Cricetulus griseus: one gene and its partner. The main gene of each other region encodes a partner of the protein of the gene in region 2 in a complex. Links are inferred from orthologs where the notes say so. Each region holds a gene or a part of one and is shown on either strand. Other genes may lie near its edges.

What was found.
Region 1: Cnot9 (region 2) and Cnot7 share a complex: the UniProt entries of both Homo sapiens proteins name them as parts of the CCR4-NOT complex. The link is inferred for Cricetulus griseus from reciprocal best matches to the Homo sapiens genes CNOT9 and CNOT7.

Annotation. Positions count from the first base shown.
Region 1 is NW_023276807.1:45,215,928-45,219,583, forward strand, and holds part of Cnot7 (CCR4-NOT transcription complex subunit 7), read left to right. Parts: intron 1-763; coding exon 764-957; intron 958-3,656. UniProt on the Homo sapiens protein: Has 3'-5' poly(A) exoribonuclease activity for synthetic poly(A) RNA substrate. Its function seems to be partially redundant with that of CNOT8.
Region 2 is NC_048595.1:427,766,989-427,770,644, reverse strand, and holds part of Cnot9 (CCR4-NOT transcription complex subunit 9), read right to left. Parts: intron 1,897-3,656; coding exon 1,787-1,896; intron 825-1,786; coding exon 715-824; intron 1-714. UniProt on the Homo sapiens protein: Component of the CCR4-NOT complex which is one of the major cellular mRNA deadenylases and is linked to various cellular processes including bulk mRNA degradation, miRNA-mediated repression, translational repression during translational initiation and general transcription regulation.

The sequences.
Region 1 (3,656 bases), on a different chromosome or scaffold from region 2:
CTGGTGTAATGATTATAGAATGTAATAATTGGCTGGTGGTTGTACTAAATTCAAGAAGTTTTGATTTCTTTACTGTTTAATATTGGCTTACTATTTCATTTTCATTTTTAGCTAGCCTTAATTTGAATTCTCCTGCTAAACTAAAACATAATTTTCTTAGTATCACAAGTTTTTAAAAAAGTGCTTCTCTGAGGGTGCTTGCTTAAAATAGGAATATCTATACATAGACATTCCATGTATTAGAGGTATAACTTATCCATAATTGGGGCTGAAACTTTCTGTTTGGGCAGAGAGGGTTACTTTATAGGCAGCAAAAAATTCCTAGTTGTCATTTATTTCTTGGATGATAAGGAATTGCAGTACAGAAATAATAACAGCCTGTAAGAGGGAGTGGGAATCTTGACATGATTTCTGTGGGTTTTCTTTTCCTTGGATACGAAGCAAATGTTTGCTTGAGTTTATCATGAGTTATCTGTACAGGGTAATAATTTATTGATAAATTTTAATAAGAAAAAGTAGTGAGTCCGAGGCCAGCCTGGTCTACAAAGGGAGTGCCAGGACGGGCTCCAAAGCTACAAAGAAACCCTGTCTGGAAAAAAAAATAAATAATATTCTTCATACTTGAAGAGTACCTAATTGAGTATGAACATACAGAATATCATTGTAATAGAATTCTCTGAATTATATCTGAAATTATCTTGAGAGTTTATGGATCCTATTTATGCCCATTTAGTAAATAATGAATCTTAAAATTATTTTTCAGGACACTGAGTTTCCAGGTGTTGTTGCAAGGCCCATTGGAGAATTCAGGAGCAATGCTGACTATCAATACCAACTATTGCGATGTAATGTAGACTTGTTAAAGATAATTCAGCTAGGACTGACATTTATGAATGAGCAAGGAGAATACCCTCCAGGAACTTCAACTTGGCAGTTTAATTTTAAATTTAATTTGACGTAAGTGGGAAATAAATATATAACCCCAACTTTTTGTTTCTAGTTTAATTTTAGGAATTGGGTTTAAATGTAGTGAAATTCTAACTGAATAAATTTCCCGGAAATTTATTAAATTTAGAGTTTCAAAAGCTTAGGCTTATTATTATGAGGCAAAAGGGATTGAGATAATAAAAGCTTCTAATTTCAAATACCATTCAGTGATAGAGATGTTATTTCTAAACTGTGACTGCTGCTTTTCCAGAAAGTTGTAAAATTGTATTTTTGTTGTTGTTTGCTGTTATTTAAGGTGCTGCAGATTAAACCTGGGTCCTAAAACATGAATCTTAGGATATTGATTTTACTATTACATTTTGTTGTTGTTTGGCTCTTTTGAGACAGGGTCTTACTACATAGCCCAGGTCTCTACGTAGACCATGCTGGCCTCAAACTCCCAGAGATCCATCTGCTTCTGCTTCCCAAATGCTAGGATTAAAGGTGTGTGTTACTACACCTAAAACTTTGACTTTTTTGTACCCAATATGAAATTCAAAAGTGGGGAGGCACATTTGCTGCTCCCAATCAAGCAGGTACCATTCAGCTACAACCCCATCCCACTGTAGATTTGTTAAGATTTTGTTGAAATAGTCACTGTTCCTGTGAAGAGATTTTTTATTTTATTACTCTCATACTTTGCATCTTAAGTAGATACTTACTTACCATATGCAATAAATTGTTTCTTGGAAAGTTAGTTATGTTTTCTTTTCAAACTCTGTTCTTTAATGACTGCTCCCATGTAACCCATGAAACCTCTTGATCTTCATACAGAAAATGTAATAGTATTCTTAAACTTTTCATATACCAGACTCTGATATGTAATTCAAATCTTGGGTCTAAAGTCTGTTGCCTTCATTTAAATAGTTCTACATTATTTATTGTAGTCTTGGTAGCTGAGGGAACTTCATGAAGTAGAGTCCATCCTTTTGACATTATGACACATGTTTTTATTTGCAAAGGTCATACTCAAGAACCATGCAGTTGAGATTTTAGCAATGAAAACAAAAATAACAAAATTTTTAAAAAGTTTACACTTTTGTGTTGGGCTACATTGATAACTCATGGAGCTTATGTGACTTCTGAACTTCAGATTATAAGTTCCCAATAGGGGACAGGGGCGTATTATTTCTATTAAGGTAAGGAAATAAAACATACAGTATATTCTGCACTATGTAACAATATTTTAGTGCCTTTCTGTTTGGTAGCCTGTATTTGTATAATAGCAGAGTCTCGTTGGAAACATAGCAACAGAAACGAGAAGAAAATTAATGCTAGTTAATTGTAAGAATTCCTTGATTAATATGCACTATTTAATGTGTAAGACCTAATGAATAGCAAGCAGGACTGATGGTTTTAGTGGTGTTAGTGTCAGTGGTACAGCTGTGTGTCTTTTAAATGCATTGTGCTAACTATAAATAATACTGACAGTATTTTAATGTCTAGTACTATAGTGACATTAGTCTCTGTAGACTCTATACAGGCTAAAAGTGCTCATCTCCACTGTAATGTTATAATGTTTCTTTAATACTACAAATCTAGAGCAAACTGAAAATTGCCTTCCATCCTTTTCTCAAATGAAGATTCTTTTCTTTAGTTTTTTGTCATTTTTATTTCTTTAAAGTTCTTTTTTCCCCCCAAACTAAACATTAGAGCATTGATTTAGTTTTTTTGTTGTTGTTTTTTTTTTTTTAGTTTTGTTTGTTTATTTAAAATAAGATACTTGGTTTGGAGCAGTACTTAATACATCAGTGTGTTGGATGGTAAAATTGGTAGTTTTTGCTAGATAGTAGTTTTTATAGCAGTGGCTTTCATTTTAGTTAGTGTCTGAGCATGTTTTGTTTTTCCTTATTCACACAAGTAGTTTCACTGCCAAGTGTGTGCTACTATTTATACTAATGATAATGCCATGAGAAATGGTAGAGAAAAGAGTATAGAGTATAAAGGCTGATGAAAGGGCTCAGTGCATAGATGCCCTCCACCATGCTTGTTGACCTAAGTATGATTCTCGAACTGATATGGTAGGAGAGAACTGACTGACTAAAGTTGTGCTTTAACCTTCACATGTGTCTGTGATGAACATGTATAGGCACACACACACACAAAATAGATAAAGGTGAAGTTTAAAAAGTTTTAGAAGACTAAGTGAAAAATGTTAAGTAGAGCAAAAGCCATTGAGAAGATAAAAATGGAACTGCCTGATGTGGAAAATGTCGTGATAGCATCTTGGATGTGTTGAAGAATGGTGAAATAGACCTTGATGAATGCCTAGAAGGAATGTGTCAGTGTGTTAGGCTCTACAGTACAATGAGGAATGTTGTTCAATGTTATTATAACTTTCTGTCCTCTCTGTTGTCTCTGCTTGTAAATGTTTTTTGTGCTTAATTCTCATACTGGTCCAAGTCAGGGTGGTTCTAGGTTTGCCAGTGTTGTTTCTGGTTTTACCATTAGCATCATGAGAGTAAATGCAAGTCATTATTTATCACATGTAGATAACAAAGATTTGGAATATGGAAAGATATTTGTGGTTACAGTATATGTGTCACATTAATCGATACTTTGAGAAGATTTGAATAGATACTTCAGAGTATTGTACATACAATAAGAAATACCTGCACTCACTTCGATTTTTAGTTATAAGTCTTAGTATTCTCTGAATCTTGGAGATA
Region 2 (3,656 bases):
ACACAGGATGTCCAGCTTGATACACGGGTGCTAAATTTGAACATGGTTGTGCAGCAAGTGCTCAACTACTAAGCCATTTCTCTAGCTCCATGTTTAAATGAAAGATTTGTCTATTCTGCCTTCATGTGTATCTGTACACCATGTACAATCAGTGCTCACGGAGGCCAGAAGAGGGCAACGGATCCCCTGGGACTGGAGTTATAGGTGGTTGTGAGCCACCACCATACAGGTGATGGGAATCAAACCAGTGCTCTTAACTACTGAACCACCTCTCCAGCCATATCCCTATATTTTAAAAATACTTCCCAGTTTATTACATCATTCATTAACAGCCTTGACCAAGAACCTTTATTTTAATGTGTGCCTACTATGATCAAGGTGTTGTATCATACAAGAAAGCTAAATACAAAGCCTAGTATGGTGCTGCATGTCCGTAATTCCAGTCCTCAGGAACCTGAGGCAGGACTGTTCCAAATTTGAGGTCTGCCTGTGCTATACAGTATCAGGCCAGTAAGGGCTACATAGCTTTAAGAGAGCAGGTTGAGCAAACTACATGAAACCAGCTAGTAAGCAGCACTCCTCCATGGTCTCTGCATCAGTGCTTGCCTTGACTTTTTGCTCTAACTTCCCAGGAGAGGCAGAAAATGATTCTAGAGCCACAAAGCAAGAGCTCGAGAGCCAAAACAATTTTGAATCTCACTTAAAAGCACATACCGTTTTAGAAAGTTCACTTCCAGATTCCATAATGCGCAAACACAAAGGGATTATCTCTGTTGTCAATAAAAAGTTGATTACTTCTTGTTCATCTGTTTTAACCAAGGCCCCTAAAGAAAATATGAACAAACAAAATTATTTTAAAGAAATTATTTCTAATTACATTTACTATGAACTGTCCCATCAAAGCAAGCTATGGAATTTAAGTAATATGATATGCAGACTGTAGTTTCTGTGTCAGGCAATCAGTTTCATATTCATTTGAACAACAACAACAAAAAAGAGTCAGCAGCAGAGTCATGAGTGCAATCCCAGTATTGGGAAGGCATAGGCAGGGAAATGCTGAGTTCAAGGCCAGCCCCGGCAAATTAAAGAGATGTTGTGTCAAAATTTAAAAAATAAAAATAAAGCAAGTGGAGAAAGTGCTCAGTGTTAAGAACACTAGCCTAATACAAGGCTCTGAGTTACTAAACTAAGTTCATTCAACTTAGATAAAGTTGATCAATAGGGTGGTGGTGGCGCACACCTTTGATCCCAGCACTTGGGAGGCAGAAGCAGGAGGATCTCTGTGAGTTCAAGACCTGCCTGGTCTTCAAGAGCTAGTTCCAGGACAGCCCCCAAAGCCAGAGAGAAAATCCTGTCTCAAATACCCCCCCCCAAAAGTTGATCGATCAAGTTATTCCTTACTCCCTCTATAACTTGATGCTAAATGATTATTGATCCTTACAGCTTTACTAGCAACATTGAGAATGGTGCCTGCTAACTTTGCAAGCACTTATCAGTAAATGAGATGTCAAAGACAAAAAATGAATAAGCTATAAGAAGTTGTACAAAATACAACTCAGACCACTATTGACCAGAAGAATTTCAGTCTTACCCTGAGTTCAATCCCCAGCACTGCATTAAGTATGGCGATGTATGCCTATAATCCCAGCACTTTGGAGGTGGAGGTTAAACCATCAGAAACTAAAAAATTCAAGGGTATCCTCAGGTACATAGTGAGCTTGAGGCCAGCCTATACTACATGAGACCATCTCAAGAAAATCAAAACAAAAATAATAAAATAACTTACCAATAACTCCAAGGCTAGTGAGCCGAAGATACTCAAAGGGACGAGTTTTGCTGACTGTGTGCAAAAAGGGGTACAAAAAAAGTGGGATGTGTGCTGCGAGAAAAGCCGACCTGAAAGAAAAAACAACCATATTTAGACCTCAGAGCTGCCTTCTAGACATCAAATGTCTAAGCCTAAAACAATACGTGAAATCACCAGAGTAAGTAATCTTTAGAAACGAACTTTATTGGTTTTTAGCCTTGACCAACCTTCTGAAATGTGTAATTTTGTTCCCTAGGAGACATGTGCCAATGTTTGGAGATTATCAGAAGCAAGAAATGTTGAGGGCTACTTAGCATACAGTCAGAGGCCAGAGATGACTACTGCTTAGAAGCATACCTGCTTGCCCTCACTGACACATCATACAGACAGCTCAAGTGTCAATGTGTAACAACCACCCAGGCTAGGGTGAGTAAACCAACACAATCTGCAGTCTGCACCAAATACCTTAAAACCTGATGAACTCAAAAGTTCTCGATGTTAGGTTTAAAAAAGATCAAGTCATAAATGCTAAAACTAATGTGTTGTTGCAATGTTGTTGAGTTCCTACAACTCAAGGGTACTCCTAAATTAGGAGAATCATGAGTTTGGGGCCGGCCTGGAGACACTGTCTCCAAAAGATAAGAGAAGCGGGGAGGGGAGAGGAGAGGAGGATAGGGAGAGGAGAAGGAGAAGAGAGAAAAAAGTGACATGAGAAGCTACATTAGTCACACACACACACACACACACACACACACGACAGACAGGTGGATGGCACACACTTTTAATCCCAGCACTTGGGGGAGGGGGCACGGCTGCAGAGGCATGTGGATCTATCTCTGTTGAGCTCGAGGCCAGCATGCTCTACGGATAGAGTTCCAGGACAGGCTCCCAAGCTACAGAGGAAGGAAAAAAACAACAAAATAACTCCCCCCCACCCTCGCAAACAACAAAAATAAATTTACTGAGTTCCTACTATATGCCATGTAATGGTTATAACAATCATGGCCAGGTGTCTACTATGATTAAAAAAAAAAAAAGTGCCTATGTACCTAAATATATTTACTTTCCTGTGATATGAACATCACTCTTTAAAACTTCAAAGCTATGACTCTGATTTAAATGAAATGAACATAAAATAATTACTTAATTTTGATTTTTTGAAACAGGGCCTCATTCTGTAGCAAGCCTCTTGTCTTAGCCTTCTGAGTGCTGGAATTACAGGTCTGAACCATCACGCCATGCCAGGCTTAAAGCTCTGGTTTCATATTTGGGATTGAATCACTGACAGAAAATATTTTTAAGGTAACCAAGCAAAATCTTTTCTCTTAGGATACAGCAAATCACTAAATTAGTTGAACCGCTTATGTTCAGAGTGTTTATTACTATTTTGAAAATTGTTTTTATGATGTTAAAAAAGTATGGAATTGTATTCTTCTTCATTTTTAAAACACATTATACTTACTTCAAATCTGTAGCTAGAAACTAAAAATAGCTGTCAAACTTAACAGTGTAGAAATATGTATGTCAGGGGCTGGAGAGATGGCTCAGAGGTTAAGAGCAGTGGCTGTTTTTCTAGAGGTTTTGAGTTCAATTCCCAGCAAACATATGATGGCTCACAACCATCTGTAATGAGATCTGGCACCCTCTTCTGGCCTGCAGGCAGGACATTGTATATATAATAAACAAATAAATAAATAAAAAAGAAGAAAGAAATACTTATGTCAATGTCAAAGAAAACCAGAGAAACGTGGGTATGGTGGTATACAGCTATAATCCCAGACCTTGAGAAAGGCGGTACGATTAGAGTTTGAGGCCAGTCTCAGCTGCAAAAACAAAAGCAGAAACTAAC